2 linked regions of the Ovis aries genome follow. The protein of the gene in region 1 purifies or fractionates together with the protein of each later gene. This does not show direct contact. Links are inferred from orthologs where the notes say so. Each region holds a gene or a part of one and is shown in the gene's direction. Other genes may lie near its edges.

The links. The genes of interacting proteins can lie anywhere in the genome.
Region 2: the proteins of PUS10 (region 1) and ABITRAM purify together in Homo sapiens (affinity purification with mass spectrometry; 3 studies listed by BioGRID and IntAct, counting the BioPlex papers as one, with this or other methods). This does not show direct contact. The link is inferred for Ovis aries from reciprocal best matches to the Homo sapiens genes PUS10 and ABITRAM.

Annotation. Positions count from the first base shown.
Region 1 is NC_056056.1:63,066,885-63,070,401, forward strand, and holds part of PUS10 (tRNA pseudouridine synthase Pus10), read left to right. Parts: coding exon 1-50; intron 51-143; coding exon 144-199; intron 200-1,221; coding exon 1,222-1,339; intron 1,340-3,517. UniProt on the Homo sapiens protein: Protein with different functions depending on its subcellular location: involved in miRNA processing in the nucleus and acts as a tRNA pseudouridylate synthase in the cytoplasm.
Region 2 is NC_056055.1:14,337,553-14,341,715, reverse strand, and holds the end of ABITRAM (protein Abitram), read left to right. Parts: intron 1-2,284; coding exon 2,285-2,361; intron 2,362-2,448; coding exon 2,449-2,518; intron 2,519-2,609; coding exon 2,610-2,747; 3' UTR 2,748-3,662; downstream 3,663-4,163. UniProt on the Homo sapiens protein: Actin-binding protein that regulates actin polymerization, filopodia dynamics and increases the branching of proximal dendrites of developing neurons.

The DNA of each region.
Region 1 (3,517 bases):
ATCCTCATAGAGTACATTTCACTTCACAAGAAATTAAGGAACTTCAGCAGGTAAACCACTTCATGACATGGAAATTGTCATGTTTCTGCAACTCTGTAACTGAACTAGAGTTGCTAATTGTTTTTCTTTTTCTAATACTACAGAAAATTAATAACTCATCTAACAAAATCCAAGTCCGTGACTTGCAGCTTGTCACAAGGTAAGGGTAGGCTCACTGGTGATGTCTCAAGAGGGGAGTTTTGGTTACAGATCATTTATCTGATAAGGGATTTGTATCCAGAATATATAAAGAACTCCTGCAACTCAGTAATAAGAAAACAACTCGATTAAAACTAGAGACAATGTTAAGTGCACATTGCTCCAAAGAGGATATACAAATAGCCAGTGAATACATGAAAAAGTGTTCAGCATCATTAGTCATTAGGGAAATGCACATCAAAACCACAATGAGATCCCACTTAACAAAAAAGACAGAAAACAGCAAGTATTGGCGAGAATGTGGAGAAATCGGATCCCTTGTACATTCCTGTGGGATGGTAACTAGTACCACTTGGGAAAACAATTTGGCAGTTTCTCAAAAGGTTAAATATATAGTAGCCATCTGACCCAGTAGTCCCACTTTTGCTATATACCCACGAGAAGTGAAAATGTACATCCACACAGAGACTTCTGCATGAATGCTTATAGTCACATTACTCACAATAGCAAAAAAGTGGAAACCACAAAAATGTCTATGCATAAACAAAATGGTATATCCATACAGTGGAAAATCAGTGGTAAAATATCAGTACTTTACTTTAAAATACTGATACATGTGGCAACGTGGATGAACCTTAAAAACATTATGAAGAAGCCAGACATCAAATACCACATATTATACATTTTACAGTATTCATATTTTATATAAAATGTTCCCAGTAGGGATGTCTATAAAGTCAACTAGTGGTTGCCAACGGCTGGGGGAAATGGGGAACGAGAAGAGATTGCAGTTGGGTGTGGAGTTTCTCTTTTGGGGTGATTAAGGTGTTCTAAAATTAGACTGTGGTAATTGCTGCACAGCTCTGTAAACGTACTAAAAATCACTGAATCGTTCAGTTAAACAGAGGAATTGTATGTAAATTATATCTCACTAAAGCTATTTTTAAAGAAAGAGAAGTTTGGGGCAAGGCTTATCTGTATTTTATAAACTCAGACAAACTTTCTTTTATTGTTTTTGTTTAGAGAGGCAATAGGACATATGAAAGAAGGTGAAGAAGAGAAGACCAAGACCTACAGTGCCTTAATATGGACAAATAAAGCAATACAGAGGAAGGACATTGAATTCCTAGATGACATAAAGGTAGTTCAGTGCTCTAATTCTTCTGTTTTTCTACTAACTATGAAAGTCTTTTGTCTTCTCATTTATTGCCAAGTCATAGCACACTGGCTTTGGGGACCCTTGAGTTGTTGCTGTTGTTTAGTTGCTAAATCATGTCCAACTCTTTTTCAACCCCTTGGACTATAGCCTGCCAGGCTCCTCTGTCCATTGCATTTCCCAGGCAAGAATACTGGAGAGGGTTGCTGTTTTCTTCTCCAGGGGATCTTCCAGGCCCAGGGATGGAACCCATGTGTCCTGCATTGGCAGGCGGGTTCTTTACCACTGAGCCACCAGGGGCTGTGAAACCTGGTTCTAAATTCTGGCTCTGCCATTTACTCCTTAAATGACTGAGTAATTCATCTAACCTGTCTGAGAAGCAGTGTTGCTATTGATTAGGAGTCTGACTCCAAGAACAGATAACCTGTGTACAAATCTTGGTTCTGCATTTCTTGGTTGTATGACTTCGGATGAGTTGCTTAGCTTCTTTGTGCTTCAGTTTCTTCATCGATAAAATTAGTTAGAAGAATTAAACAGGTTTAGTCACATAAAGCCCTTATGATAGGATCTGGCATATAGAAAACCTTCAACAATGCTATTATTATATTTGACCATCTGCAGAAAGGAAATAGAAAACAGAATTTATCTAATAGAATTGGTGCTCAGATTAACTGCACAGATAAAACATATTGTAAATCAGTATGTCAGGGGGATATATGTAGGGCACAAATGTTTTGGCACATGCTAGATTTTCCTTCACATGAGGATGTTGCTCTTGAGGATCTACATGTTCCTTTGAGTATTTCTTCCCACCTGCCCCCACCTCTTCCTGTAAAGATAACTTACTTTCACATGCAAGGAATGAGCAAAAATGGGCACAAATATGTAGTTATCACAGCATTGTTTAAATGGGCAATATTTTGTAAAAATCTAGAGGGGACTGGTTTAGTCTTATGGCTTATCTGGTATGATGGACTATTACTAGCCAGATGTTAGAAATTTTATGGAAGATGAATATTCATTGACAAAGGGAAATGTTCCTGATGAATACTAAAGGGGGGAAAAAAAACAAGCTATAAGAATATAAAGGACTTCTATGGTGGTCCAGTGGCTGGGAATCCGCCTGTCAGTGCAGGGGCACAGCTTTGATCCCTGGCCTGAGAAGTTCCCATATGCCGTGGGCAACTATGCCTGTGTGCTACAACTAGTGAGCCCATGCACTCTAGAGCCGTGGTCTAAAACAAGAGAAGCCACAGTAAATAGAAGCCTGCACACCACAACTAGAGAGTAGCCCCTGCTTGCCACAACCAGAGAAAGCCCGTGTGCGGCAACGAAGACCCAGCACAGCCAAAAATAAGTAAATTAAAAAAATAATAAAAGAATATATAGAGGATGATACATTGTGATTTAGACACACAAAGTGTGTGGTTATATATACACATATGTATGACTCTGTACCAAAAAAATGTATGGCAAAAGAAATACCATAAATAGGATTTATACTTATGAAAAACATAAATACCCAATAGAGAAAACTGGACAAATTATTTGAACAGACAGCTGAAAAAATGGCAACTCCAAATGGCCAAGAATCATTTGAAAAGATACTTTACCTCTAGACTAAAGCAACAATGACATCACTTTATTCTTCTGAGGCTAAGAATGTCTGTCGGTTGGAGGGAGAAGGCTAGTTACTTATATTTTCAGTAGAAATATAAGTGTTTTAACCTTTTGGAAAACAATGTGGCAGTGACTGTGAAAATAAAAGTTTAATGGTCTACCCAGTACTTCCCCTATTGGCAATCTGTCCTGAAGAAATAAAACTTCAGTGTATAAGGATATGTGCACAAGGATGTTTGTTGACTTTGTTCAGAGTGTGAAAATCAACAAAACTGTAAACAAAGTAAATTTCCTTTGATAAGGAAATGGTAGAACATGTTGGAATATTATGCAGCTATTTAAAAAAAACTAAAACATGTGATCCCATTTAATTTGTGTTGTTGTATGTATATATGTCTAAAACTGTTGTGAAAAAAAGATGTAGGTAGGTCTACATCTATGACTTGTAGGAACATCCATAACACTGGCAGGGGAAAGCAAGGTGCAGAATAGTGTTTATTTTAATAATGAGTATTTTGGTGAAAACATACAGGTCACCTACTG
Region 2 (4,163 bases), on another chromosome or scaffold:
TTCCTAAATCATTGCCAGTTTAGTACACATCTAGCAATACCTTCTTCCTCCAGAGTGTTCAGTTATAGAAAAATGTTACCTCTATCCTCTACAACTCTATGTAAGACCAATATTATTCATATTAAAGGAGGGTATCACACCAAGGACAATTCAATACCATACTAAAATATCCTGACAAAGACCCCAGATGGTGAAGTTTGAGTGGATGACTTCAGTTCAGTTCAATCACTTAGTCGTGTCCAACTCTTTGCGACCCCATGGACTGCAGCACGCTAGGCCCCCCTGTCCATCACCAACTCCGGGAGTTCACTCAAACTTATGTCCATTGAGTCGGTGATGCCATCCAACCATCTCATCCTCTGTCGTCCCCTTCTCCTCCTGCCTTCAATCTTTCCCAGCATCAGGGTCTTTTCAAATGAGTCAGCTTTTCACATCTGATGGCCAAAGTATTGGAGTTTCAGCTTCAACATCAGTCCTTCCAGTGAACATTCAGGACTGATTTAGGATGGACTGGATGGATCTCCTTGCAGTCCAAGGGACTCTCAAGAGTCTTCTCCAACACCACAGTTCAAAAGCATCGATTCTTCAGTGCTCAACTTTCTTTATAGTCCAACTCTCACATCCATAAATGACTATTGGAAAAACCATAGCCTTGACTAGACAGACCTTTGTTGGCAAAGTAATATCTCTGCTTTTTAATATGCTGTTAAGGTTGGTCATAACTTTTCTTCCAAAGAATGTCTTTAAATTTCATGGCTGCAGTCACCATCTGCAGTGATTTTCATTTACTGAGTTCATACAAAGAGTTTCTGCTAATTACCCTCACTGTTCTATAAGACCCTTGTTTATACTAGGCCTAAAGGCCTCTAATAACCTGCCTTATAATTATTGATTTCCCCCCCTCATTCAAGAAGAAAATGGACTTTAAAAAGCATGGACCATTCTTTGAAATCTACAAACTACAAGTAACAGTTAGTGCTTCTGATGTTCCTGTGATAAATCTTTGTCCAAAACAGTAACACCATTGTTACAACTGAGGAACAGAGAGGGACCTGCATATGGACCCTCTGTAGAGAAACGCTGATTGGATCTCAGCACTGCTCATCATTTATTCTAAGGGAGGTGACAACAAACACACTTCTTTTTGATACAGACCCAGTGGTAGAGAAACCATCTAGGATAAATCCCTAACTGCTTCTCTCAAAAGTGGGGAGTCACACTGACTAGTATTTTGAAACAGAGTCAGCACATGCCAGAGAAGTGAAGCATGTGCTAACAACACCTGAATACTAATGATATTGTGAGTGGTAAAGAGGCCCTAAAGAACAGTATCTAGACCTCAAATGTTCACTGCAGTAAAAATTCCTGGAAGAAAAGAGCAATACATGAAACATGCTTACATCCGTTTCCTATGAGCCTTCTTGTAGGTATTTGTCAGAACCTCTCCAGATATATCTGTACAGTGGAGAACGTGAAACTAAAACTGTGCCATGACATTCAGACAGATTCATGTCAAAATTCAGTATACACTAGTGGGAGACAGGGTAAGGAGTAAATTACTCTTAACTGCTATTTAAAACTTTTCTGTTTTCCACATTTTCCTTAAAGTGCATTTAAAAAAAAATTAGAACAAAGATCCCTCTTCAAAAAGCCTTAGTGATTGACCCTAATAAATAAGTCCTTTTATCTATTATCCATGGCATTCTCCAGGCCAGAATACTGGAGCGGGTAGCTGCAGTACCTGGGTTGGATCTTTCCAACCCAGGGATTGAACCCAGGTCTCCCGTATTGCAGGCGGATTCTTTACCAGCTGAACCACAAGGGAAGCCCTTTATCTATTATAGTTCTAATATAAAAATAAGTGGGAATCTTAATGAAACTAACTGTATGACATTGCTGTCGTTTGCTATAATATTGGATTTTATATTGTTTATTCATAAGATTTCCCTGTCCTTTTGATATATTTACACTTGGATATATGGAGCTTTCTCATATACAGTTAAATATAACGTATAATAAGATAAAATATATTCTTAATATGTAACTAAACTATTATCACATGTGTCTTTGACTGCTTTTCCCCCTAGAGCTTAGGATGTTACCTGACCCGTAGCAGGCATTTAATATATAAATGTTTGAAGAAATGAATGTTTTTTTCTGTACTTCACTCATTTTTACTTAAAACACAAATTCCAGGAATATATGCTATTGTAACACTGAGGGCTGCCTCTCAAAGAAAAATGAAAATGTACATCAATTAATTTTTCTTCCCTTTTATTATCAGGGGGCACAGTTTCTCACAGAACTTGCACCTCTGTGTAAGATTTACTGCTCAGATGGAGAAGAATATACCATATCTAGGTAAGTTACTTTTGAACCACAACTTTGGAGAAAGAAAGGAGGTTAATACTTTTCTTCAAACCAATTTTTTTTTTTTTTTTTAACTAGCTGTGTTAGGGGGCGGTTGATGGAAGTGAATGAAAACATTCTCCATAAACCATCTATTCTTCAAGAGAAGGTAAAAAGGGCTGGGGAAGTAGGAGCCCATCCAGTACTTTTTATCTGATTTCTGTATCATTCAACAACATTAAATATTGTTTCCTTTCTAGCCATCTACCGAAGGCTACATTGCAGTTGTGTTGCCCAAATTTGAAGAAAGTAAAAGCGTAACAGAAGGGTTACTGACACAAAAGGAGTATGAAGAAGTTGTGGTGAAACGCCTCAAAGCCACAACAGCTGCCTCCTGAGGGGCGAGGACTGAGGCGGAGTGAAAGCAGCGCTGCCTCCTTGTCCTTACCTGGCCTGCCAGTCCGTGCACCGAGGAAGAACCGCGGGTGAGGCCGCCTTCCCACCCGGCCACCCGCAGCGAGGCCCGATCTGAAAACCGACCGAGTTTCCCTTCTTCATCTTGCATGACAAGCCTCAGTTCTGTCTTCTGCCTCCCAGATCTGACTACGCATGTACTCACTCACTCTGTTCTTCTCTTGCTTTTCTCTAACAACTGGCAAGCAAGATGTTTTCCTGGTTAAAAACCAACAAAGCATTTTGTGGAAAAATTTACTCATCATCCTGTAGCCCATTAATAACTACTATGTTTTGACATAATTCTGTTTGAATGTTACAGATGGTAATTGTTTTTGCCTCAATTTTCCGTCATGTTGAAGCTGAAAAACCACCAGCCTTTCTTCCCCAATCTGCTTCAGTGTGACACCACCAAAACGTCTGGTCTCACTTACGTTGCCAAGAAGAGGCAAGGGCATAGTTTGCCTTCTCTGTTCCTACAGGTTGGCCTTCAGCTCTGAACAATGTAGCACTGGCTTCTTAATGGGGGACACATGAAAAGGCCTGAAAGGGGCTTTGCTAACATGGAAGTATTACCATGTGGTGTTACGTAACGTTTATTTGTGGTCAATCTCACACTTCAGTTACAGGATAACCAGTGAAGAAGTTATTATAATTCAAAGACACAGATGCCTTTGAACAAAAAAAAAGCTTTCATATTTAAAGAAACAAAAATCTATGAATTTATGGTTTCAGATTATATATTTACAATGAATTTCAAATAAAAGTGCTTTTAAAATTTTTATTTTTCCTTAAGGGCTGCAACACATACAAACATACAAATATTTCTTTTTAAATAAAAGTTATCATTGATGTGTAAATTCTTTTGGACTTCCTTCATCTTTTGCTGTTCAAGTTGTAAGTTATCCCTTTCCCACCCCTACTCGCACTCTGAACCGGACTTGAAACAATGGACTGGTTCAAAACTGGGAAAGGAGTACCTCAAAAGGCTGTATATTGTCACTCTGCTTATTTAACTTATATGCAGAGTACATCATGAGAAACGCTGGGCTGGATGAAACACAAGCTGGAAGCAAGACTGCCGGGAGAAATATCAATAACCTCAGATAGGCAGATGATACCACCCTTATGGCAGAAAGTGAAGAGGAACTAAAAAGCCTCTAGATGAAGGTGAAAGAGGAGAGTGAAAAAGTTGGCTTAAAACTCAGCATTCAAAAAACGAAGATGGCATCTGGTCCCATCACTTCGTGGCAAATAGATGGTGAAAAAATGGAACAGTGACAGTCTTTCTTTTCTTGGGCTCCAAAATCATTGTGGACAGTGACTCCAGCCATGAAATTAAAAGACACTTGCTCCTTGGA